Callithrix jacchus: one gene and its partners. The protein of the gene in region 5 interacts with the protein of the main gene of each other region in a biochemical or structural test. Links are inferred from orthologs where the notes say so. Each region holds a gene or a part of one and is shown on either strand. Other genes may lie near its edges. The genes, in order: DPF2, GTF2B, PARP1, TLE5, RELA, ING4 and RXRA.

What was found.
Region 1: the proteins of RELA (region 5) and DPF2 form a complex in vitro, tested with the Homo sapiens proteins (2 studies listed by BioGRID). The link is inferred for Callithrix jacchus from reciprocal best matches to the Homo sapiens genes RELA and DPF2.
Region 2: the proteins of RELA (region 5) and GTF2B form a complex in vitro, tested with the Homo sapiens proteins (2 studies listed by BioGRID and IntAct). The link is inferred for Callithrix jacchus from reciprocal best matches to the Homo sapiens genes RELA and GTF2B.
Region 3: the proteins of RELA (region 5) and PARP1 form a complex in vitro, tested with the Homo sapiens proteins (2 studies listed by BioGRID). The link is inferred for Callithrix jacchus from reciprocal best matches to the Homo sapiens genes RELA and PARP1.
Region 4: the proteins of RELA (region 5) and TLE5 form a complex in vitro, tested with the Homo sapiens proteins (2 studies listed by BioGRID). The link is inferred for Callithrix jacchus from reciprocal best matches to the Homo sapiens genes RELA and TLE5.
Region 6: the proteins of RELA (region 5) and ING4 form a complex in vitro, tested with the Homo sapiens proteins (3 studies listed by BioGRID, with this or other methods). The link is inferred for Callithrix jacchus from reciprocal best matches to the Homo sapiens genes RELA and ING4.
Region 7: the proteins of RELA (region 5) and RXRA form a complex in vitro, tested with the Homo sapiens proteins (2 studies listed by BioGRID). The link is inferred for Callithrix jacchus from reciprocal best matches to the Homo sapiens genes RELA and RXRA.

What each region holds. Positions count from the first base shown.
Region 1 is NC_133511.1:122,421,575-122,425,074, forward strand, and holds part of DPF2 (zinc finger protein ubi-d4), read left to right. Parts: intron 1-2,958; coding exon 2,959-3,119; intron 3,120-3,500. UniProt on the Homo sapiens protein: Plays an active role in transcriptional regulation by binding modified histones H3 and H4. Is a negative regulator of myeloid differentiation of hematopoietic progenitor cells. Might also have a role in the development and maturation of lymphoid cells.
Region 2 is NC_133508.1:126,082,252-126,085,751, reverse strand, and holds the end of GTF2B (transcription initiation factor IIB), read left to right. Parts: intron 1-2,637; coding exon 2,638-2,771; 3' UTR 2,772-3,045; downstream 3,046-3,500. UniProt on the Homo sapiens protein: General transcription factor that plays a role in transcription initiation by RNA polymerase II (Pol II). Involved in the pre-initiation complex (PIC) formation and Pol II recruitment at promoter DNA.
Region 3 is NC_133520.1:22,865,382-22,868,881, forward strand, and holds part of PARP1 (poly [ADP-ribose] polymerase 1), read left to right. Parts: intron 1-1,518; coding exon 1,519-1,663; intron 1,664-3,469; coding exon 3,470-3,500. UniProt on the Homo sapiens protein: Poly-ADP-ribosyltransferase that mediates poly-ADP-ribosylation of proteins and plays a key role in DNA repair.
Region 4 is NC_133523.1:2,836,650-2,840,766, reverse strand, and holds the start of TLE5 (TLE family member 5), read left to right. Parts: upstream 1-1,483; coding exon 1,484-1,510; exon of another isoform or gene 1,511-1,511; intron 1,512-2,352; coding exon 2,353-2,450; intron 2,451-4,117. Other genes in the region: uncharacterized protein LOC128930549, read right to left, coding at 670-1,485. UniProt on the Homo sapiens protein: Transcriptional corepressor. Acts as a dominant repressor towards other family members. Inhibits NF-kappa-B-regulated gene expression. May be required for the initiation and maintenance of the differentiated state.
Region 5 is NC_133511.1:122,752,141-122,756,087, reverse strand, and holds the start of RELA (transcription factor p65), read left to right. Parts: upstream 1-1,147; 5' UTR 1,148-1,233; coding exon of another isoform or gene 1,234-1,240; 5' UTR 1,241-1,335; coding exon 1,336-1,372; intron 1,373-1,848; coding exon 1,849-1,875; intron 1,876-1,965; coding exon 1,966-2,117; intron 2,118-2,217; coding exon 2,218-2,366; intron 2,367-3,897; coding exon 3,898-3,947. UniProt on the Homo sapiens protein: NF-kappa-B is a pleiotropic transcription factor present in almost all cell types and is the endpoint of a series of signal transduction events that are initiated by a vast array of stimuli related to many biological processes such as inflammation, immunity, differentiation, cell growth, tumorigenesis and apoptosis.
Region 6 is NC_133510.1:20,839,024-20,841,990, reverse strand, and holds the end of ING4 (inhibitor of growth protein 4), read left to right. Parts: coding exon 1-102; intron 103-270; coding exon 271-379; intron 380-625; coding exon 626-773; intron 774-1,658; coding exon 1,659-1,720; intron 1,721-1,809; coding exon 1,810-1,849; 3' UTR 1,850-2,467; downstream 2,468-2,967.
Region 7 is NC_133502.1:182,994,507-182,998,006, forward strand, and holds part of RXRA (retinoic acid receptor RXR-alpha), read left to right. Parts: intron 1-525; coding exon 526-631; intron 632-2,848; coding exon 2,849-2,996; 3' UTR 2,997-3,500. UniProt on the Homo sapiens protein: Receptor for retinoic acid that acts as a transcription factor.

The DNA of each region.
Region 1 (3,500 bases), about 330 kb from region 5:
GTACTCCAGCCTGGGCAACAGAGCAATATTCTGTCTCGAGAAAAAAAAAAATCTTTTAAGGTTCTTACGAGGAGAGTAAAATAAAAGTATAGCTGTAGCTGCTGATTGGTTTTTAAACTTTCTATAGACAAGAGCTAGAGGCCGGCACAGTGGCTCATGCCTGTAATCCTAGCACTTAGGGAGGCCAAAGCAGGCAGATCATGAGATCAAGAGTTTGAGACCAGCTTGGCCAAAATGGTGAAACCCCATCTACACTAAAAATGCAAAAGTTAGCTGGGCATACTGGCGTGTGTCTGTAAGCTCATCTACTCAGGAGCCTGAGGCAGGAGGATCATTGGAACCTGGGAGGCAGAGGTTGCAGTGAGCTGTCATGCCACTGCACTCCAGCCTGGGCAAAAGACTAAGACTCTGTCTTAAAAAAAAAAAAAAAAAAAAAAAAAAAAGATCTAGAGAACAGTGCTAATTTAGCTTGACATTTCTTGCTTAGAGAGCGTTAAGTTTTTGTTGTTGTTGTTGTTTTGTTTTGTTTTGTTTTAAGAGATAGAGCCTCCCTCTGTTCCCCAGGCTGAAGTGCAATGGTGTAACCTTGGTTTACTGCACCCTCAGCTTCCTAGGCTCAAATCATCCCCTACCTCATTTCCCCCAGGGACTTCGTAGGACCACAGGTGTGCACCACCGTGCCTAGCTGATTTTTTTTTTAAAACATTTTGTAGAGATGAGATCTCACTATATTGCCCAGGGTGGTCTCTCACTCTTGAGCTCAAGAGATCCACCTGCCTTGTCCTTTCAAAGTGCTAGGATTACAGGTATGAGCCACTGTGCCCAGCTCCCTTAAGTTCTTAAGAGCTCACTCTCATTCTGTCTTGTTCTCTCTTCATCACATTCTCCCCACACATACACTTAAGTGTTTCGTTCCCAGCCCTTTACCCCCAAGACTGTTTGCCTTACCTTCTGAAATCCCACAAAGCTCACAAGAGCTTTGACAGAACATCTCTCATCCATTCCCCCAAAACTGTTTCCAGCCTCTTTGCTCTGACTTTGCAGCCCTCACCAGCCTGGCCCTTTCTTCCGTTTGACTTCCAGTGTCAGTATCAATTTCCATCAACAGAAACAAAGGAGCTGCCTTAGCTTGTTTATCCAGTTTTATTCTGTGTGGTGAAGATGTGGCCGCCTCCTAAAGACAAGCCCACAGAGGCTGCCTTCTTCATTCTGCTCTCCAGCACGAGATTCGTGTCTACCTCAGACTATAGTCATTACAGCTCACTGAATCATGCCAGGCTATATTTGAGATATTGCCATCTCTGCATGTGGTATGTGTATTTTTTACTTGCTGGGCACATGCTAAGCTATGCAGTGGTCTATTGTCTGCTCACTGAAGGCCCCCGTCACATTCCAGAGCAGGGTTGTTGGTGTGGCCTGAGTTACGGACATAAATCCTAGAGACTGAATCTGTTCAGTGTCTCATGTCCAGTCTTTTTCTCGTAAAATCGTGATATATCAAAGCTCATCTGGTCCACCCTCTTCAATCTATAGAAGCGTAACCAAGGTCCACCCGGGTTATCTAAATGTCTGTGTTCATCTGGTGACTTGCAGGCAAGCCAGGTCTACTCTCAAGTCAAGTCTGACTGTATCTCAGACATCTTCATGAGCATTGTGGATACTATGAGAAAGAAATCAGTTCTGCCCTCAGTTTAAGATTGATTGACGCCAGGTAATGTGACGCACACCTCTCTTCCTGGACACTTGGGAGGCTAAGGCAGGAGGATCACTGGAGCCAGGAGTTTGTGTCCAGCTTGAGCAACATAGTGAGACCGTGTCTGTTTAAAAAAAAAAAGGATTGCTCGAATGTAAGTGTAAATTGTTAGAGTTAGTTTAACCTCCATTACCAAAGTGCTTGTTAAACCCTGCGGTATGAGAACAGGATAGCTTCTCTCCATGCTTCTTAGAACCAGATAACTCCTGGCACTGTTCAGTTTTCCAGTTTTCCACTTAAAGGTTTACCCTTGATTCAGATTTCAAATTGTCTCTTGATACCAAGAAGATTCTTTCCTATATAATTTGGTTTTGTGAGCGTGGAGAAGAACCCCAAGATGGGCCTTAGAGCAAACAAGTTTCTGATCAGTAACGGTGCTCAGTAGAAGCTTCAAGGAACTTCAGGTACTTGTAGACATCTTCTGTAAATATAAAATTAATTAGCTGGTTAAAAACCTATTTCAAAATTCAAGAGATATAAAAAGGCATGTGGAAGGAAGTGGCCTAGTCACCCAGTTTTTCTCCCTGCAGACGTGTAGTTTCTTTTCCAGTTTGTTACATAAATGACAGCTGTCTTTGACACTTCTCAGCAGTGTGCCTTGCTTTGCTTTTTTCCCTAGTTAACTTGAGATTGTTCAATATCAGTATGTGAAGAGCTCCTTTGTTTCTTATGGGCAAATAGGATTTCATTGTATGGATTTTCCATACTTTACTGAATACATTTTAATAAGTTCCCTAGACCTTAATGAACTCTTTCCCTCTGGAACAGATCCTGGGGCAAGGATGTGGGTGCATGTAGTTTATTTGGGATGTGATTCTAGGAAGGAGAGAATAAGGAGGGACTGTCCTCTGCTTCTCAGCATCGTAAGGGTTAAGAGAAATAACACAGCACAGGGCTGGGCTTGCGAAACACACAGAGTGAAACGTTAGTTCCTTCCCCCGCTTTGGGGGGTTAGACTTAAGTCTGATTAGACATATGATGAAATCTGTGTTCCTGATGGTAATTTGCTTGAAAAGTAATTCCTCATGATGGCCTAGAAAAGGGGCTTGGTGTCCCATGAGGCAGAAGTGGAGGCAAATAGAGTGGAAGAGACAGCCTCCCAGTCCCTTGAGCCTTCTAGAGAAGCAGATGGCAGGGGAGAGGAATAGTTCAGCACCCCATACTCCCTCTCCAACACACACGCCCGATTTCTGTCTTCCTTGCAGCCTTGGGGAGCAGTACTACAAAGATGCCATGGAGCAGTGCCACAATTACAACGCCCGCCTCTGTGCTGAGCGCAGCGTGCGCCTGCCTTTCTTGGACTCACAGACTGGAGTAGCCCAGAGCAATTGTTACATCTGGATGGAAAAGCGACACCGGGGTCCAGGTGAGGGTCCAGACTTGGGAGAAGGGGACTTAGGAGCATAAGGAGGAAGAAGCCTCCTCGTCTTAGGTGATGAGACAGGTGATAGGGTTTTCCCTATTGCCTTCTGCCTTTAGATGAATATGGTCTTCTTGTGATTAGAAACCCAGGGAGGATGAAGCAGATAGGTTGATACCAGCATCTTTGTTTTCTGCCCTGCTGAGGCCTTTGTGTGTCTGGAGAACTATGTGTTAGCCAAGGCTCCTAAACTTATATATCTCTTTTTCTTTTCCACAGACTGTTCCACCCAACTCCCTAGGCCCTCAGTGTCAGAATTCCTCCCTTGCTCTAGAACTTAAAGTGGGGCCTACTTATTTAGAGTATTTGGTATTATTTTCTAATACT
Region 2 (3,500 bases), on a different chromosome or scaffold from region 5:
GTAAATAGCCTTCTAAAACCATGTTTGAATTTAGTGTTGTAGGAAAACTTTCACCAGAAGTATTAAGTGGATTTCTTTTTGTTTTTCCTTTTTTTTTTTTTTAAACAGTCTTGCTCTGTTGCCCAGGCTGGAGGGCGTAGTACAGTCTCAGCTGACTGCAACCTTCACCTCTTGGGTTTAAGCTATTCTCGTGTCTCAGTTTTCCGGTTCTCGTGCCTCAACTTCCTGAATAACGGGGACTGCAGGCACGTGGCACCACGCTCAGCTAATTATTGGATTTTTAATAGAGATGGGGTTTCACCATGTTGGCCAGGCTGGTTTCAAACTCCTGGCCTCGTGACTCGCCTGCCCACCTCCACCTCCCAGTGTGCTGGTATTTTAAGCACAAGCCACTACGCCTGGCCCAAAGACTCCCTTTTAAATTTAGAAGTGACTACTCCTTTCCAAATCTTTGAGGTTTATAGAAATTATTCATGAGCAAATGCATGTAAAGAAATTCACAAGCTAGGTGCAGTGACCAGCCTGGCCAACATGGTCAAATCTCGTCTCTCCTAAAAATACAAAAATCAACTAAGCACAGTGGTGCACACCTGTAGGAGGCTGAAACACGAGAATCTCTTGAACCTGGGAGGCAGAGGTTGCAGTGAGTCTAGATCCCACCACTGTACTTCAGCCTGGGAGACAGAGAGACTCTTGTCTCAAAACACACAAAAAAATGAGTTAGTGAATTGCTGGCCTCAATAACTTTGTAATATCCTATTCACAGCAGCCTTCAGCTTAGGCTATATGTTGATAAAAGTCATAAATGATACAGAGGAATAATTAGAGAAAGGAAGGCAATCATTAGTTACTTAAATGAGCCATTGTCCATTCCCTTTGGCCTTCACTCATGTTTTAAGGAAATTTTGAATCTTTAATAAAATTGAGAACTCGGAGCTAGACAGTTGGTTCTTGAGGCACATTCCTAGTTGTAAAGTTTATTCTAATGAGCAACACAAAAACATTAATCCTGGTGCTTTTTGCTTTTTAGCTTTATATGAAATATCTTTGAATTTAAGGTCCTTTTCTTCCCTGCACAGCAGGCAATTGACAGTCAAATTGTTGGCATTTATTGGTATTTAGATCTAGAATAATGCAGTGAGATAAAGAAATTTAAAATTAGCTAATTGCACAGTGATGGGAAGCATTCACAGTGAAAATCACTAGAATCTCACTGATTTGAATCAACTGAAAAGGTGGTAAAATGAGTTTGTATTAAAATATGTTTAGGTTGGGCATGGTTGCTCACACCTGTAATCCCAGCACTTTGGGAAGCCAAGGCGGGTGGATCACCTGAGGTCAGGGGTTTGAGACCAGCCTGGGCAACATGGTGAAACCTCATCTCTACTAAAAATACAAAAATTTGCTGGGTATAGTGGCAGGTGCCTATAATCCCAGCTACTCAGGAGGCTGAGGCAGGAGAATTTCTTGAACCCGGGAGACAGAAGTTGTAGTGAGCCTGGGTGACAGAGTGAGACTCTATCTCTAAATAAATAAATGATGTTTAAAAATCCATTTTAATAAAGCATTCATAATACTTAACCAGATATTTTAGTGGCAGTCCTTTGTTATTTCTTTTAATGACTTTGAAAGGAAAAAAGGGATAGTGACTTTAAAGGGTAAAAGTAGATCTGTTAGGATTCTATAACAGAAGAAATGTTCATGTGAGCTCAAAATACTTGCTTAAGTATGTGCTTGTATCAGTGAAAAAAATCTAAAAATGTACATATGGTTTAATAAATAGCTGTTGATCTCTGATGTATTACATAGAAAAAAATTATAGAACAATATTTATAGTGTCACATTTTGTTTTTAATAAGGACCTTTTAACAGAAGTTAGCGAGGGGAGATTTTACATGGGAGCTTTCAAACACAGAAATATAAAGTGAATTTCTTTACAATAATGTATCTGTGGAGTACTTTTGTAATCCTCAGAAAGATTTATAAAGAAAAAGGAGCAGTTCTAAATATGATATCCAGTATAATATAACACCCCTAGTGCTAAGATATGAAGACTATTCACATTTTTTTTGTTGGTTGGTTGGTTTTTTGAGACGGAGTTTCGCTGTTGTTACCCAGGCTGGAGTGCAATGGCACGGTCTCGGCTCACCGCAACCTCTGCCTTCTGGGTTCAAGCAATTCTCCTGCCTCAGCCTCCTGAGTAGCTGGGATTACAGGCACGCACCACCATGCCCAGCTAATTTTTGTATTTTTAGTAGAGACGGGGTTTCACCTTGTTGACCAGGGTGGTCTTGATCTCTTGACCTCGTGATCCACCCGCCTCGGCCTCCCAAAGTGCTGGGATTACAGGCGTGAGCCACTGCGCCTGGCTTCATGTTTTATATTAGTTAAACCCTTTAAAACATTGACAGCCCTGTAAAGTAGTAACTACTTGTACCATTTTTATTGTTACTAACTTTAGCTCCCACTTTCCACCTTTTAGTATGTATTTCCATTATTAGTTTTTAGAAATTAGCACTTCCGGTTTTATCTTTAAGTTTGGCACTTTTTACTGTCATATCTCACAAATTACAATGCAGGTAGTAAAAAGGAGGTAGGATGGAAGTGACAGTTAATGTTTTGATTTTTGTCTTTTAGAAATTGGAGATATTGCTGGTGTTGCTGATGTTACAATCAGACAGTCCTACAGACTTATCTATCCTCGAGCCCCAGATCTGTTTCCTACAGACTTCAAATTTGACACCCCAGTGGACAAACTACCACAGCTATAAACTGAGGCAGCTAAAGTCAAATTCATGAATACAGAACTTTGCCTATTGTACATAGCCTATACAAAATGATGGGTCAAGCCTTTCGTGAGGAAGAACAAGACGGTACGCATTCCAGGGCTGACTACTATTGCTTGGCATTCTGTATGTATATAGTAGTAAAACATATTTAATGATTTAAATTTCTTATCAGATTTCTTTTGTAGCAATCTAGGAAACTATTTTGGAAGATATTTGAAAGTATGTAATTCCTGAATAAAACATTTTTCAAACTAAAGTTTTGTTATAATTACATGTTACTTGTAACTTATACATAATTGCAAATAATGCAAATCATTGCAGCTAATAAAGCTGATAGAGGTTCTTGATTTCCATTATTTTTCTTATATATACAGTTTTTTTAAATAAATACATGGAAAGAGCAAAAGCTTTTGAGAACGATTGTTAACATCAACATATTTAGTTTCTAGTTTGAAAGGATGTGTATGTGAGATTTATTAATATGTATATTATTAAACAAAAAGTGATGAGCTTGGACCTTGAAAGGTACCAGATTGAGAGATTAAAATGTTCTAAATATGTGATTTTCTCAGCTTATTGAGCAGAGAAGATGCTGGTAAATTAATAGTAGCAGCAGATCAACAGATTTTAATTTCTGGATGTTAAAATCTAATGTAGAAGCTGCATGTCTCTGGTTCTTTTTTATTCTTTGTTATGCTTACTGGTACGCTC
Region 3 (3,500 bases), on a different chromosome or scaffold from region 5:
CAGTAAGCAATATGTGATCCCTTGTGTTTTATGTATCAATTACAGAACATCTGTACCTTTTTAAAGGGTATGTACATGCACGAGGCAAGTTTTCAGCGTGGCAGTACTTGCTGCTTATGCATCGAGGCTGTTGCCCCCAGGCACTTGGCCCACAGAATCAAGGCCAGCTCCCTAGCTTATCCTCAGAGCCCTGCAGCCTCTTTCTGCCACCCTCTTCCTCCTCCTCACATACCACTTTCCTCTCCTCACCCACCGCCAGTGTTGCTTATACTTTTTTTTAGTTGAGGCATTAAAGCAGAACTCATTCTTTTTAGGAGTACCTAGCAATAGGGCAGCTAGCCATGGTGCCCCACATCCCACCAGGTGCTACTCGGATGGCTGTGCTTAGGCAGTCTTCTGAGTCTTCAGTTCCCAGCAGGCTTAGCAGGTCACTGCCTCCAAGTATATGCTAGCATTCCCTGTCTTATATCACCTTAGCACGCCTCTGGCATAGCTTAGCTCCTGTGTTAAAGTTCACCTTTATAGACTGGGCACGGTGGCTCACGCCTGTAATCCCAGCACTTTGAGAAGCTGAGGTAGGTGGGTCACCTGAGATCAGGAGTTTGAGACCAGCCACCTGGCCAACTTGGTGAAACCCTATCTCTTAAAAAAAAAAAAAAGTTTACATTCATATAGCTGACTCTCAGTCATGAATGAGATACTTTCTCAAGGGCATAAACTGTCTTTTTAACCAAACTGTAATTAGTAGCACATATTAGGGTGGTCAGTGTGTGCTGGAAAGAATCTGTGACCTCTTATATCCAGCTGGCACCCTGAATGTGGGCACAGCTGGGAAGGGCAGTTTTTTCATTAGATGAAGACCTGGATCTTTCCCTGAGCCTCGTGTATTTGATATTTATTGAGTGATCGTTTAGAGCAAGGCCCCTTGTAAATCACTTGGAGTGAAGATTGAACTGTGCTGATGGAAGAATTTGTTGTGAATACTGTAAGGCTCTCTGCATTCATTTTCCCTTCTTCTAAAAAGGGAAGGGAATACTGTGATTTCCTTTTGGGTAATAATCTCCCAGTGCATATAGTGTTGGGGGTTTTGGAGTTCTGGAGTAGGTGTGTGACCCCACAGAGCCCCATTAACTCTTGAAGGGAACAACTCAACAATGAGGCCAGGTAGGCTGTATTCACACAGCAGTTCCAGGGGTGATTCCCTGGCCTAACTGTCCGCTGATTTGTTTTTAAGGGAAAGATTTTTCTCATAAAGCAGCCACAATACCAGCCCTACTATAAATGTAAAAATATCAGAAATAAATACTATAGCCCCAGTAATAGAATCTTTCATCCTAGAAGCCCCGCATTTTTCTATTGTTTGTTGTAAGAAGAAAAAACTAAAAAGAAAAGAGAAAACTCCATTGTAAGAAGTAAAAAAGAGATTATTTAATTTGGACAAGCCAAATCCTTTTTGGTCTATGGGGTGGTTGCTTCAAGGGAGAGCTGGCTTCTTAACTAAAACTAAATATTTTTTAGGAATTCCGAGAAATCTCTTACCTCAAGAAATTGAAGGTTAAAAAGCAGAACCGTATATTTCCTCCAGAAACCAGCGCCCCAGTGGCTGCCGCACCTCCGCCCTCCACAGCCTCGAAGCCTGCTGCCGTGAACTCTGCTTCAGCAGGTATAGCACGTGGGGCCCCAGTCTTAGAGCTGCTTTGCAGGAATCATTTGTCCACTATTTGATGGTGGTATGGAGCTGGTAAGAAAGTACCCTTCGGGGGTCTCTCTTTGCTGACCCCACCGTGGGGAAGCCTTGCCCTGCAGGGCTTTGACTTGTTACACGCCCAACCACAGCAAGGCAGGAGGATATTAAGACTATAACATCGGCTGGGAGCAGTGACTCACACCTGTAATCTGAGCATTTTGGGAGGCCAAGGCAAAAGAATTGCTTGATGCCGGGAGTTCGAGACCAGCCTGGGCAATATAGCGAGACCCCATCTCTACAAAAAGTCTTAAAATGTTCCAGGTGTAGCAGCTTGTGCTTCTAGCTCTAGATATTCAAGGAGGCTGAGGCAGAGGATTCCTTGAGCCTGGGAGGTAAAGGCTGCAGTGAGCTATGATTGCACCATTGCACTCCAGCCTGGGCACTGGATCTCTGAAAATAAAATAAGCATGGTAAAAAAGCAAACGACTCTTATTCTGGGATGCTAGGAGGGGGCTCCTAAGAAAGGCTGGGTCGACAGCCTTACCTGGAATAGCACGCAGGTCTCCTTCCTGACTACACTGCAGAGCAGCTTGCCAGGCCTCACTCTTTAGGCCATCTGGTGGGCCTGCCAGTCATCCTGGCCCTGGTGTGATGCTCGAGTCTCTGTTGTGTGCAGAGGGAGTTACGCCCCAAGCCAACCAAGACAGTGAGAGCAATGTGTTCTTTTGGCAGAAGTGACCTGCTGCTTATTTTCTCAGCGACATGTGGCATGGTCTAATGGTGAAGGTCACAGTTTGGTGGGTGGAGGATGAGGGTTCCGTCCTTGAACGTAAATCTGTTGTTGACCTCTGTTTCATATTCTGAGAGGGACCAGTGGTCACTGCAGTGTGTGTGTGTGGTCATCCCAAGTCCACTGTGCTGCTGGCAGCCTTGGGTCCAGGTGCCCACCTGAAGAGCTAGGTGGGGGCTGGCATTCTGACCCCTCCTTGGAGGGTTTCCTCCTCTGTTTTCCCCTGACTTGCAGTTCAGCACAAATCAATAATTTTGTTCTCTGGAGACCACACCAGTTTCAACTAAACTGTCAGTGTTAACTAGTTGTCTGCCTTTACAGGGAAGGCAGGAAGGACTTTTCTTTGCAGCATCTCCAGTTCTGGAAATGTGTCACTAGCACTGTTATTTGCTGTGAACAGAAGGCACACCTCTGTCCAGGCCTTTCTGGCCTGGGTCAGTGCATACCTGGCTGCTGCTTTTCGCCTAGAATCAGTTGGCTCACCTCAGTGTGATTGTGCTGGCCACTGTTTGGAGGGGCTATCGTAGACATGTCTTACTTTTAAAACGGGGTTAATTAATAAGAATTGCAATTTGTTTGGGAGGATAACAGAAGGAATTGGGGGGATCATGTGGAAGAACCCCCAATTCCTTCTGTTACCCTCTTCCCATCCCACTCCAGCCTCCTGGTCCCTCATCCACAGATGCAGCCTTCCTAGCCCGCCCATGGAGCTGACCTTGGGTAACCCCCACCTACCTGGTTCATGCCAGCAAGGCTGGCCTGGCCATGGATTGGCATTTTGTGGCTTGCTCCCTGCCCAGTCCTTTCTGTGTCAAGGGACATCTGTAGGTGCTCAGATGGCAGCTTGCTGTCCCATCCTGTTTTCTTCCAAGCATATTTTCATAGGCTTCCTCAGGAGCTCGCTGCTTGGCTCATCGGCTTCTCCACCTCCCCTTCCTGGGGAGCAACATCAGAGTTGGCCTTGCTGAATGATTTTGTCCTTTCATCCCCAGGTAAGCCGTTATCCAACATGAAGATCCTGAC
Region 4 (4,117 bases), on a different chromosome or scaffold from region 5:
AACCCAGGAGGCAGAGGCTGCAGTGAGCCAAGATCGTGCCACTGCACTCCAGCCTGAGTGACAGAGCAAGACTCCATCTCAAAAAAAAAAAAAAAAAAAAAAAAAAAAAAACCACCAGGTCCTGTCCCTCTTCCTTCCACAGCCCTCCAGGGCTCCCACCTCACTCAGAGCAAGAGCCCTGTACTCCCCGAGGCCCACAAGCCCTTTTGGAACTGGCCTGTGTCACCAGCTACAGAGTTGCAGGGCACAGTACAAAAGAAAACTGAAAGGCCCCTTGTTCGAAAATGATTCGGAATTTCAAAACGCAGCAGTAAAGATTCACCCAGGCAGAAGCCCTGCTGGGGGCAGGGGGCCTGGGCAACAGCATGAAGCCCCAGGCCCAGGCCCTGCCTCCATCCCGGGCATCCTGGTGCCAGGCACAGTCCTGCCCCAGGGCCTTTGCACCTGCTCGTCCTGCCTCTGACTGGCACTGCCCCCATCCCCTGTTCTCGCTCCTTGGGGTCCGTTTGTGGAGGAGGAAGCCCTCTCTGACCCTCCCTGCCCTCTGTTCAACCTTGCACCTTCCTACCCCGCCATTGTCCCAGCCGATTTTCCCCGCAGAGGCGTCCCCACCATCTGACCTGCTGGGAATTCAGCTCCTGAATTTATCTCTGTCTGTCTCCAGGCACCTCACCAGGGCAGGGGCCTTGTACCCCCCCCACCCACCCCAGGGCCCTGGAGCAGCCGGGCCTGGCACACAGGCCCTCCATAAAGGTGTCCAAAGAATGGCTTCCCTGAGGAAGGCGGCATGACCGCTGCCTTTCTGCAGAAGAGGAAACTGAGGCCCGGCGAGAACCACCGCCCAGCCAGAGCCAAGGTCACAGAATACGTCCCTGGCACGCGTCCAGGTCGTGCCACCGCAGGGCCGGCGGCTTCGACCTGGGCAGCCGGGTCCCTTTCTCTGACAGATGGGGAAACCGAGGCCAGGCCGGCCGCCAGGCTGGGGCGGGTGGCGGGGGCCGCGGCCCGGGGCGGGGGCGCGCCGGGCCCAAGGTCACCGCGGCGGGCGGGCCCCGGGGAGGCGGGCCGGGGTGGGGATCCGCAGGCCTCCCCGGGCGCGCGCGTCCCCCCCCTCGGCGGCGCGCACGGGGCACGGGCGGCGGCGGCAGGTGGAGCCGGAGCCTCCGCAGCAGCCGAGCCGCGGCCACCGCCGGCGTCGCCGCCATTAGACAATAGCGGTGGGGCCGGGGAGCGGGGAGGCGGGCGGCGGGGAGGGGCGGGGAGGGGCGCCGGGCGCGCAGGAAGCGGGGCCCGGGGCGCGCCGGGGCCGGGCGCGCGGGGAGGGGGCGCAGGAAGCGGGCGAGGCCGGGCGCGGGAGGCGGCGGCGGCGGCCCCGGGAGCTGCCGATCCGCGCCGGGACAAAGGCGCGGCCGCCCGGCGCCCCGAGCAGCCCGAGCCGGGGCGCACAGCCGGGGCGCAGCCCGCGCCCCCCGCCGCGACTGACATGATGTTTCCACAAAGCAGGCATTCGGTAAGCGGGGCCCGCCCGCCCGGCGCCCCCTCCCCGCGCCCCCGCCCCGCGCCCCCCCAGCTCCCGGGCCCTGGCTTCCCTCTCGGGCTCCGAGCCCCGCGCGACCCCCGTCCTGCCGCCGACCCCCGGACACCCCCTCAGTTCCCGATTCTCCCCCAGCTTCCGGGCCCCGAACCCCCCCCCAGCTCCCGGCTTGGCGCCCCCCCCCCCGCCCGCCGGGACAGGCAGGGCCTCGGACGGCCTTGGCCTCGGGCCTGGGGATCTCCGGGAGCCCCGCCAGGCACCTCCAGCGCGGGGCTCCTTTGGGGGCCTGTGGTGGGGGGGACAATCCGAGGCGTCCCCCCTCCCGGAAGAGAGCGCGTCCCCGAGGAAGGGCGCTGGGATTCTGGGGTGGGCTCCCCCCCGGAAGATTTAGGGCGCCGAGAGAGACCCCCTTCCCCAAGGGGACTTTGCAGGGGGGACTCGCTGCCCCTCAACTTGGGGAGGGGGCTCCCTAGGGCGCGTTTCCACCCCCCTCGGAGGCACCCACTCCCGGCGCTTTGGAGGGGCGGTAGAGGGCGTACCCTGCCCCCCACCTAGGGCGGGCCTTAAAACGCACCCCCCACTGCCTGGGGGTGGCGGGGGACGGGGCGGCTCCGGGCGCACCCACCCCCTCAGCTTCCCCCGGGGAGAGGCGGGGGCAGGAAGCGCGGGTGGGGGCCTTGCCAGGGGCGGTAAACACGGGCCCAGGAAGTGGGGCAGGAGGGGGGGCGCCGCAGCTGCGCGGCCGCTCCCTCCTGGCCCGCCCTTGAGGGGGGCCTGGCCCACGCCTGGGCCTGACCGGGGCGCCCCCCTCCCCACAGGGCTCCTCGCACCTACCCCAGCAACTCAAATTCACCACCTCGGACTCCTGCGACCGCATCAAAGACGAGTTTCAGCTCCTGCAAGCTCAGTACCACAGGTGAGGGGCGGGTCGGGGTCCCTGCGCCCGAGAGGGTGAGCCCCCTTGTTCTGCACGGACGGCAGATTGGGAAAATAACGTGTGCTAGGCTCCGACCGAATCGCTTGACAAATACTGAATTCCTTTCTTTAAACAGCCCCAGTTTGTAGAGGAGGAAACCGAGGCACAAAAAAGTTAAATAATTTGCCCAAAGACCCACCTGTGTGACTTCAGAGTCCCTCCCTCCTCCCCAGTCTCCCCCAAGCCCCCCCCCACCCCCCGCTGGATAAAAGACCTTGCGCCAACCAGCTTAGAGCCTGGACTCACCATCCCCCCAACCCCAAAACACATTTTGTAACCTGGTTATGTCTGTCTTTGGCCAGTTTTGGAGAAAGGGTTCCCAGCGCCCATCACGTTCTCCAAGGTGCTTCTCCTTTCAGAAATCTGACCTTTCTGAAGAGTTTGCCATGTAGCTGGTCTAAGGCGAGGGAACTATTGAGTCCTCTTAAAGAAATGTAAGCCCAGGCCGGGCGGTGGCTCACCCTTATAATCCCAGCACTTTGGGAGGCCGAGGCGGGTGGATCACGAGGTCAAGAGATCGAGCCCATCCTGGTCAACAAGGTGAAACCCCGTCTCTACTAAAAATACAAAATTAGCTGGGCACAGTGGTGCGTGCCTGTAATCCCAGCTACTCGGGAGGCTGAGGCAGGAGAATTGATTGAACCCAGGAGGCGGAGGTTGCGGTGAGCCGAGATCGCGCCATTGCACTCCAGCCTGGGTAACAAGAGTGAGAATCCGTCTCAGAAAAAAAAAAAAAGAAAACAAAAGAAAGAAGCTTAAGCCCAGAGAGGTCAGGGATTTCCTCAGGGTTAGTATCCACAGCACTGAGGAAGGGGCAAGGCTGAGGTGGGCACCAGGTCTCTCTCCTGGTGTAAGGATGCAGATTCCCACGTGCCCTGCTCTGGAGGGGCGCAGCAGACCTGGGAGTCTGGAGGAAGTCAGGCCACGCTGAGGCCCACGTTTCAGCCTGGGGGCCCTCTCCTGACTGCAGTTTGCCCATCCTGGAGGGACCCTGGACTTCCTCCAAGTAGAAAGGGGAATCTCGATTTTGAAACTATCCAAACTTTCGGGGTACTCCCTGTGTGCTAAAGACCATATGTGCTTCCTCGTGAGGTCCGGCTGTCGTGCCCATTCTCAAGATGGGCACACTGAGACCCCGACAGTCAAAAGCACTGGAACCAGCTTTCCAGGAAGGCCCCAGAAACTTCTATTTGGGTCCCTGGAAGCATAGGGTTTGAGACTGCCTGGTGGGCCCTGGGGCTGACCTGATTCCACAGGGAAGAGATCAGATGGCCTTCGCAGTGCTGTGTGACCTCCAGTAAGCCAGACGCCCTCTCTGAGCTTTGGAGTCTCCATCTGCTGGGCCTGGGCTTTCTGCTATCCAGAAAGCCCTGCCATATCAGGCACACACTGGATGTTCAAGGCATAACAGCCCCTGGGTGGCCGGATCAAGTCTCACGCTGTCGCCCAGGCGGGAGTGCAGAGGGGCAATCTCGGCTCACTCCAACCTCCGCCTCCTGGGTCAAGTGATCTCCTGTCTCGGCCTCCCAAGTAGCTGGGATTACAGGCACGCGCCACCACTCTCCTAATTTTTGTATTTTTAGTAGAGACAGGCTTTCGCCATGTTG
Region 5 (3,947 bases):
CGGGGTGCTAACTCTATTTTCACTTTTCTCTTCCTGTTTCTTCAGAGCCTGGGAAACAAGTCAGAATTTCCAATCTTTTCCAATTCCCACATGATTTCCTAATTTAAGACGAATTCAGAGAAAAAATAAAGTCTTTCTCCATCTGGAGAAGACTCCGCCCCCTGCAGTGGAGCATCCTCTTTCGGGGAGGAGGTGTGGGGTGGGGGTGCGCCAGCCCCAGCCCCGACACGTACGCGGTTTGGTCTTGGGGGCGATACCGGCACTGTGGGGGTCACATGACAGAATTAGTGGTCAGCCCTAGCTAGAGGTCCAGGGCAAACGCAGGGGTGGGCGGGGGCGTCGTGACTCTGCTGATTCAAGTGTCCCCTGGGGGTCCCGGACCTTCTGAGACAAGCGCCAGGCTGCGGAGACAAGGCTCCGGGGTTTACCCCCGGGCTCCTCCTGCTCCCACGGTCGCTCAGGGTCTAAAATGCAGTTCGGCTGCATCTTAAGCTGGCTCTTTAGCGTGAGAGGGGCGAGCCCTCGGCCAGCTCGCCGGCGGGAGGGCCTCGGTCGTCCCATCCGGGCTGCAGGCTCTGCAGAGCTAGTCTATACTGTCAGGCGAGGAGGCCCGGCCGCTCCCCTTCCCCAGAGCCGCATCTAGATTGGGGTGGCTAGGACATTTTAACGTGCTTCTGAGACAGTCACCACCGAAAGGCGCCTTTAGCGATCAGGAAACCCGCGTAGACTTCAACCACCTGGCCTTTGCGGGCGCAGAAGGCCAGGCTTGGCCTTTCCCTGCGCGGGACGGGTGGCCGCAGCCCAGCAGCCCTGGCTTAGCTCTAGACCCGGCCCAGAGTGACATCACCAACTCCACCGATCGCGGGAAGGGGCCCCGAAATCCCCTAAAAATAAAGTGAGTAATCGACGGACACGCCCTCCAGGTGGGGCCGGGACTCGGAAACTAGCCCAGCAGCCTGCCGCGCCAGCCTCTTCGTCCCCCGCGAGGCGCGCACTTGGCCCCGGCCCCCTGCGGCGGCTGTGCGCGCGGCCTCTTCGTCCTCCGCGCGGCGCGCACTTGCTCTCGGCCCCTGCGCCGGGCCGCCGCGGTGCAGCACGCAGGCGCGGCCGGATTCCTGGCAGTGACGCGACGGCGGGCGCGCGCGGCGCATTTCCGCTTCTGGCGAATGGCTAGGCTGTAGCGCCCGCCGCGGGCCCAGCTGCGACCCCGGCCCCGCCCCCGGGACCCCGGCCATGGACGGTGAGGTCGCCCTCTGACCCCGCGGGGTGGCCGCGCCGGGGCCGCCGGGGCTGTGGCGGGAGCCCCCGCGCCGCTTTCCGCCCCTTCTTGCGCTGATGGGCGCTGCGCAGGGAGCGGCCTGCCTGCTGGATGGTGGCGCGGGGCGGGGCAAGCGGGGAGGGATCTGACTCAGTTTCCCCTCTGGGTGGAGGGGAGGGCCTTAACTCAGTATCCTCCCTGGGTGGGACAGCGGAGGGAGCCTTGACTCAGTTTCCCCCCCACTGTCTATGGGGGCAGCTCTGGCTTCGTTTCCTTGTTAGGGAAGAACGCATCTGATTCAGTTTCCTCTCTGGACGGAGGTGGGGCGTGCCCTCCCCCAGTTTTCCTTATGAAAGGAAAACTAATTCAGTTGCCCTCGGGAGAGGAAGGATTCCTTACCCCGTTTTCTCTCAAGAAGCAGGTGTTTCTGGCTCCTTCTCCCCACCCTTTAGTTTCACCGCCTGTTCTAGGGAACGGGTCCTGACTCCGTTCCCCTGGGAGGGAGCCTGGCTTCTCTTCGTGGGGAGCAGATTCCCCCGGTGAGGATGGGCAGTGGGTGTGTGCTGACCCTGATCTCTCTCCCCTTTCAGAGTTGTTCCCCCTCATCTTCCCGGCAGGTAAGTGGCCCCCGCGGTGGTCGGGGAGGTGCTCCCTGGGGTAGGGCAGCGGGGGCAGCCACCTAATGGGTCTGCGGTGTCCCCTGGCAGAGCCAGCCCAGGCCTCTGGCCCCTATGTGGAGATCATTGAGCAGCCCAAGCAGCGGGGCATGCGCTTCCGCTACAAGTGCGAGGGACGCTCCGCGGGCAGCATCCCTGGCGAGAGGAGCACAGATACCACCAAGACGCACCCCACCATCAAGGTCAGCATTGAGCCGGGGAGTGCGGGGTAGGGACTGCGAGCCCCAGCCCTCTGTTTGGGAGTCAGGTTTGGATGTCTGGGCTTCTCTGTACTTTGGACAGATCAATGGCTACACAGGGCCAGGGACAGTACGCATCTCCCTGGTCACCAAGGACCCTCCTCACCGGCCTCACCCCCATGAGCTTGTAGGAAAAGACTGCCGGGATGGCTTCTACGAGGCTGAGCTCTGCCCGGACCGCTGCATCCACAGGTGAGCTCCCTGCAGTCTAGGAGGCCCAGCCTGAGGGGACAGGATGCGGGCTGTGAGGTAGACGCTACAGTGTTACTCCTTTCTGGACACAGGACAATTTCTCACTCCTTGCTCTGACATAGTTCTGCAAGTAAACTCCCTTTGTTTTAAAATTATCATTTATACCTCTACTCTAGCAGATAGGAGCTCTAGGGGATAGGGATGGGTCCCTAATCACTTCTGAATCCCTGACCCTGTAGCTGGAAGGGGTAGTCCGTCAGAGTCATGTCTCTTGTTTGAGAAAGAAAACCATTGAACCAGTACTCTCCCCGGAGTTGACATTACAGTTGACAGAGACAGACTATAAAAAAAATATACAGGCCAGGCGTAGTGGCTCATGCCTATAATCCTAGCACTTTGGGAGATGAAGGCAGGAAGATCTCTTGAGCGTAGGAGTTCAAGACTAGCTAAGGCAACATAATGAGACCTTATCTCTACAAAAAAATAAATTAGCCAGGTATAGTGTCATGTTCCTATAGTCCCAGCTACTTGGGAGGCTGAGGTGGGAGGACCACCTGAGGTGGGAGGCTGAGGTGGGAGGACCGGCTGAGGTGGGAGGACTACCTGAGGTGGGAGGCTGAGGTGGGAGGACCACCTGAGCCAAGGAGGTCCTTGCTGCAGCAAGCTGTGATCATGTCACAGCATTGAAGTCTGAGTGACAGAGTGACACCCAAGTAAATAGCCTGGCACAGTGGCTCATGCCTGTAATCCCAGCACTTTGCGAGGTTGAGGTTGGCGGATCATCTGAGATCAGGAGTTCGAGACCAGCCTGACCAACATGGTGAAACCCTGGCTCTACTAAATACAAAAACTTAGCCGGGTGTGGTGGTGCACACCTGTAATCCCAGCTACTTGGGAAACTGAGGCAGGAGATTGGCTTGAACCTGGGAGGCGGAGGTTGCAGTGAGCCAAGATTGAGCCATTGCACTCCAGCCTGGGCAACAGAGTGAGACTCTGTCTAAAAATACATAAACAAATAAAATATGAATAAATACACAGATAAGTAAACAAGGTACTGTCAGAGTAATACTTTCAGTGCTGAAAATAAAACAAGGTCATAGGATGAAAGGATAACCTGGGGTCGGGGAGTGAGGGGAGCTAGTGTAATGACTAGATTGGGAGGTCAGGGAAGGCCTCCCTCTGCTACTGCTTGAATGGTGAGGAGGAGGAGAAAAGTAGGAAAAAGAACATTCCAAGCAGACCAAACAAGTGCTAAGACCTTGAAGTGGGAATGAGTGTCTTGTGTTAGAGAAGGGAAAGGAAGCCCCTATGGTGGTAAGCAGATGGCCCAAAGGGAGGCTGGCAGGGGCGGGGGCGCAGAGGTGCTTGTCAGCGGAGGGGAGGGACAGGGTTCGTTGCAGCATAGTGGGAAGCCACTGGAGGGGGTTAGGTATGGAGCGATGATCTGCGGGTGGGCAGGGGAGGAAGGAGCAGGCTGGGCAAGGCAGGAAGGTCCCAGCTCTGCAAGAGACAGGTGAGTGGGGGTGTTCAGTTTCCAGAACCTGGGAATCCAGTGTGTGAAGAAGCGAGATCTGGAGCAGG
Region 6 (2,967 bases), on a different chromosome or scaffold from region 5:
TTCGGCGGCTGGACACAGACCTGGCCCGTTTTGAGGCTGATCTCAAGGAGAAACAGATTGAATCAAGTGACTATGACAGCTCTTCCAGCAAAGGCAAAAAGAGTGAGGAGGGGGGCGGGGCTGTGAGAGTTGGGGCGAGGATTCAATGAGAGAAGACGCCAGCTCTTCATCTGGTGGGGAGTGGGGCAACAGGTTGGAAAGAGAGGAAGAGAAGAGGACTTAACTCATCTTTCTGTCTCCCTGCCTTCTGGCTTTCCCCCTCTTCCCTAGAAGGCCGGACTCAAAAGGAGAAGAAAGCTGCTCGTGCTCGTTCCAAAGGGAAAAACTCAGATGAAGAAGCCCCCAAGACTGCCCAGAAGAAGTTAAAGCTCGTGCGCACGTGAGTGTATCAGGGAGCCCTTTGCCAGATGACGTCCCCTTCTCTCCCAGTGCCCCACTTCCAGCCTGCACTGCCCCCTGCCACTTTCTGTATCTCTGCCAAGAACTCTTCTTATCATGTTGGTATCTGCTGGAGAAGAGAAGCCACAAATCATTTGCCCCACCAGGATCTCCTGCCACCTCTGAAAGCCTCAGGCTTTAGCTTCCCTTCCTGTAGATGACACTTTCTCTTCCTCTTGGCATGCAGAAGTCCTGAGTATGGGATGCCCTCAGTGACCTTTGGCAGTGTCCACCCCTCTGATGTGTTGGATATGCCTGTGGATCCCAACGAACCCACCTATTGCCTTTGTCACCAGGTCTCCTATGGAGAGATGATTGGCTGTGACAACCCTGATGTGAGAAACATTTTGCCTCAGGATGGGGGGTTGTGAGGGGCATGAAGGGAGCGGGTACAAGAGGGAAAATCCCACAGTTGAGTACTGGGACTTCAGACTAGAAGGAAGACGGGCTGGGCATGGTAGCTCTCGCCTGAAATCCCAGCACTTTGCGAGACTAAGGCAGGCAGATCACTTGAGGTCAGGAGTTCGAGACCAGCCTGGCCAACATAGTGAAACCCCTTCTCTTCTGAAAATACAAAAATTAGCTGGGTGTGGTGGCACACACCTGTAATCCCAGCTACTCGGGAGGCTGAGGCAGGAGAATCGTTTGAACCTGGGAGGCAGGGGTTGCAGTGAGCTGAAATCGTGCCACAGTACTCCAGCCTGGACAACACAGCAAGGCTCTGTCTCAAAAAAAAAAGAAGAAGAAGAAGAAGAAAAGGCCTGACTCGGTGGCTCATGCCTGTAATCCCGGCACTTTGGGAGCCCGAGGAGGGTGGATCACTTGAGGTCAGAGTTTGAGACCAGACTGGCCAACACGGTGAAACCCAGTCTCTACTTAAAATACAAAAATTAGCCAGGCGTGGCAGCGTGTGTCTGTAATCCTAGCTACTCAGGAGGCTGAGGTGGGAGAATTGCTTGAACCTGGGATGTGGCGGTGGCTATGAGCTGAGATGGTCATTGCATTCTAGCCTTGGCAACAGAGTGAGATTCCATCTCAAAAAGGAAAAAAAAAAAAGAATTCAAGGAAAATGGTGGGAACTGGTTGGCCTTGGGGCTTCCAAGAACTCTCCAAAAGGATGGAGTAAAGGACAGGACATACCTAAGGAATCTGGAGGGGCTTTCTCTCCTTCCTCTGGCCCATCCTGGCCCCTGACTACGTTTTCCTTCTTCCTCTTCCAGTGTTCCATTGAGTGGTTCCATTTTGCCTGTGTGGGGCTGACAACCAAGCCTCGGGGGAAATGGTAAGTAGCAGGGGTTGGAGGGTCCCTAAGGTGAGTGGTAGAGGGCATTCTCCCTTTCACTTACTTTTCTCTCCCCTTCTGTTTTTCAGGTTTTGCCCACGCTGCTCCCAAGAACGGAAGAAGAAATAGATAAGGGCCCTGGATTCCGACACAGTTTCTTCCACATCCCCTGACTTGGGCTAGTGGGCAGAGGAATGCCTGTGCTGGGGCCAGGGGTTCAGGGAGAAGTGGATGGCACAGTACTGTCATCCCTTCTCCTCCCCTCTCCCCACTCCCGGTGCTGAGGCTGCATCAAACCCTGGTAGGGAGGGGTGCTGCAGCCACTAACGGTATGTGCTCTCCTTCAGTCCTCTCCCTTCAAAGGGACGTGGTCTTGCCCACTGTCCTTTTGCCTCCATGCTGAGGTTGGTGCTGTATTTCAGAGGGAGGGTCCTTTTCATTCCCCTTGCTTTGTACTTAAGGACTGGGGTATAGCATGGGGGCAGTCCCCTAGACCTCTTCATTCCCCCTCCTCCTGTGGTGAGGGCTAGGTATGATCAACACTGTCTTCTCCATTCCCTTCCTGCTTTTTTCATGGTGGGGGATCCCCCAGGTTATCTAGGCTCTGGCCGTAGTTGAAGGGGAACCCCTTCCTCTGTGCCGAGAGGATTCATCCTGGCCTTGTGAATGGGAGAGGGGGCAAGGTGGAATGCAGATAACTCACATGTAAAAGGAACTTGGGTAGGTAAATAAAAGCTATACATGTTGGCCTGCTGTGTTTATTGTATAGACATTGTTTGAGTAAATGTGCCGAGCACTTCTTTTTGCATCCTCTGGGTTGGATACAATGTGAGATGATGGCATGCCACAATTAGGACCCGACATGAAACCAGAGTGATGCCTCTGCCCGAGAACCCACAAGTTCTCAACTTGGGAAGGACAGAGGTGCTGAAGGGTGGGCCTCAGACCAGGGGTCTCCAAAACTTTGTAAATTGTACAGCTTTTCTCCATAAAACATCTTTCACTTAATTTCCAATAAATGATTTATTTCTGTTATACATGTGTACTACTATACCAAATATTAGCTTGATTTATTCCCTTATTTTTTTTTTGAGACAGAATCTTGCTCTGTCACCAGGCTGGAGTGCAGTGATATGATCTCAGCTCACTGAAACTTCCACCTACCAGGTTCAAGTGATTCATCTGCCTTAGGCTCCCTAGTAGCTGGGACTATAGGCACGAGCCACCATGCCCAGCTAATTTTTGTA
Region 7 (3,500 bases), on a different chromosome or scaffold from region 5:
GTTCGCTCTAGGCTCTTTACTCTGGGGCCTGAGCTCAGCACTCTCCAGCATCCTGAGGGTGGCTTCTGGGGACTCCAGGTGCTCCTGGGGGGCATTGGTAGTGCCCATCCGTGTTACAGGGTTGGGACCCAAGGGCAGCAGAGGCGTCCATTGTCAGTCCCTGCGGCAGCTTGAAAGCAGCAGGTTCCGGACACAAGTCTCTGGAGGGCGAATGATTGACCCAAGGTCACATGGCTGGCAAGTGGCAGAGCCGGGCTTGGGCCCAGAGCAGCCTGGCCTGGCCTCGGGTTCCACACTCGCTCCCTGCCAGTGGGCTCTGGGTTCATGTCCTGTGGCATCCCTCACACCACCTGCTCTGCCCATATCAGGGCAGCCTGGGAGACCCCACATAGGCCTGGGTCCTGGGGGCAGGTGCCCAGGACGTGCCACAGCCTGGGAGACCCTACACAGGCCTGGGTCCTGAGGGCAGGTGCCCAGGATGTGCCCCAGCTGAGGGTTCTGACTTGTGGCCTCTCCTCCTTTCAGACTCCAAGGGGCTCTCGAACCCGGCCGAGGTGGAGGCGCTAAGGGAGAAGGTCTATGCATCCCTGGAGGCCTACTGCAAGCAGAAGTACCCAGAGCAGCCGGGAAGGTGGGCCCCGCCCCCCACAGACCCCAGATCCGGGCTGTCTCCAGAGCCCCCACCCTCTGCAAGGCTGTTTTATGTGAATGAGAAGGTGGCAGCCTCCCCAGGCCCAGTCCTGGGCAGTAGGTCCTGAGCAGGCTCCGGGCCAGTGGCCGTGGTGAGCATGACCCACAGGTTCACGCCGTATGTATCCCTGCTGGAAGGATTACCTCAGACCTGGAGCGTAGTAGGTGCTTGTCTTTTTCTAGTAGGTAGATGAAGGCTGTGCTTCAACCCCCACCCAGTCCCCTGCCAAGCAGAACCACCAGAGGCCAGGCGACACCAGCACACAGTAGGTACTTCACAAGCATGTGTAGCCTAGATGGCCTGATGTTCACACGTAATAAACATTCTCTACAAGTGTGTACAGCATAGGTGACCATGGCCCCCTGGAGGAGTTCATTTTCCCCCCACCCGGCAGTGGGCCCCAGAAGGGCTGGGAGCCTCTCATCTCCAAGTCCACGTTGCTGGGTGCGCAGTAGGTGTCCAGGAAGAGAAACTTGTGGATTCCTGGGATTCAGAGTCAGCTCTCCAGAGTCTGCCCCTTCTCTCTAAAGAGGCTTCTCCCGGCCTCTTGATCCTCAGACTGTGGGCAAGGAGTGGGGTGAGGGGGGCCCCCAAACCCGTAGGACACCCAGGCCCTGGCGCCACCGGCACATACACAGTTAACCGTGTCCCCACTGCCTGCTCGGCCCTCATCTGGCTTGGTTTAAAGTGAAACTTCCCGGAGGACGAGGACAGGAGGGGGTGGCAGGCGGCTTGTTTTTCCTGGCTCTCTGCCCTGGCCCATCTCGCCAGCTCAGCAGAAAACAGCTTGTTCTCTGGCCCAACTCCAGCCTCTGCGTTGTTTTTGCCTTTAAAACAAGAACTGTGAGGCAGCCAACCACAGAGCTTTTCCCTGAAATAAAGACTTCGTTAATAATTAATGAGGTTCTGCAGCCCCTGGTGGGGCTGTGTGGAGAGACCCAGGTGGGCCCTGGGGCAGACATGGGCAGCCGGGAGGGACACCTGGCCCTGTCTCCACAGCACCCTGTCCTCTGTGGTAGCTGTTGCCCTCATGCCTGGCCCTCTGCACCCCTTCCCAGAGCCCCAGACTTCTCCCCTGCCTCCGCACTGGTCCCTGCCCCAGGAAACTCCCCAGGGGTGGGCCGGGCCCTGAGGAGCAACGCATGGTGCCTCCCTCCCTGCCAGTCTTCTCTGACCATGCTGTGCCCAACTCCAGAAGAGCTATTTCTGCTGAAGAGGTGGCCCTTGGTCTGGTGCCCGCAGTGCTGCATGAGGTGTGCTGGGGAGACACTCACGGGGTGCTGACACTTTATGGGAAGGGGCTTGCCTGGTACACGGCTCCCAGGTCAGGCCTGGCTCCCCCTGCAGTGGGGGCGCAGCCCGAACACCACCCCCCATGCCCTTTGACTTCTTGACTGCCTATCCAGTGCCCTGCCCATTCCTGCCACTCACCAGTGTGCTCAGCACCCCTTTCCCTCACAGGCCTTGCTGTCTCTTGCTGGGACGGCTACAGAAGCTGGAGGAGATGCTGATACGTCCACTCCTGCAACTCTCCCCTGCTGCAAATCCCGCTGACGGTCCCTGTGGCCCACATTTTTTCATTTTTTAGGACACAGTCTTGCTCTGTCGCGCAGGCTGGAGTGCAGTGGTGCGGTGGTAGCTCACTGCAGCCTCCACAGTCGGCTCTCAAGCGGGCCTCCCTGCAGGCGTGCACCACCAGGCCCAGCTACTTTTTTTCTCTTTTTGTTGTGTAGAGACACGGTCTCACTGTGTTACCCAGGCTGGTCTTGAACTCCTGGGCTCAAGCTGTCCTCCCACCTTGGCCTCTCAAAGTGCTGAGATTACGAGTGTGAGCTACCCAGCCGCCCACAATGTTTAACTCCTTTACTGAAGCTCTTCAGCGGGCCCCCACCCGCCGCTGTCTGGCCCCACCCCTCCTCTCTGTCCTCGGCCCCAGGGATCTCCCTTCACTCTCCTGGCTCTGGCTGCCGCCGCCTGTTTGCTTCTAGCCTCCCCTCCTTCCTTCTGGGGGCTTGGCACAGACAGGCCCTGGGCTACAGACCAGCTTCAGGGAGGTTGGGCTGTCAGACACAGCCCCATCCCCAGGGAGGCCTCCAGGTGCCACAACAGTACTGCCTGTGCCCCTTGCCTGGCCCTCACCGGACCCCTTCCCTGCAGGTTCGCCAAGCTCTTGCTCCGCCTGCCGGCTCTGCGCTCCATTGGGCTCAAGTGCCTGGAACATCTCTTCTTCTTCAAGCTCATTGGGGACACGCCCATCGACACCTTCCTCATGGAGATGCTGGAAGCCCCACACCAAATGACTTAGGCCTGCGGGCCCATCTTTCGCACCCGCCCAGTCCGGCCACTCCGCCTGGACGCAGCTGCTCTTCTCAGCCTGAGCCCTGACCCTGCCCTTCTCTGCCTGGCCTGTTTGGACTTTGGGGCGCAGCCTGTCACTGCTCTGCCTAAGAGATGTGTTGTCACCTCCTTATTTCTGTTACTACTTGTCTGTGGCCCAGGGCAGTGGCTTTCCTGAGGCGGCAGCCTGAGTGGCAAGAACTAGAATGAGCCCAGCCAGGCGCCTCCCCACCGGGCTCTCGGGACACTCTGCCACACCCCACGGGGCTTGGGTGGCTCACAGGGGTCTCCTGGCTCCGGGCCCAGGAGCTGCAGGAGTTGGGAACAGGGCCTCGGTTCCCATTGCTGTTGAGCGATGCTGGTTTTCAGAATTCCCGGGTGGCCCTCCTGTCTGGAGTGACGTCTTCGCCTGCCCATGACAGCTCCCCTTAATCAGGAGGAGGGGACAGCTGGGGGCACAGGCTGGCTCGTC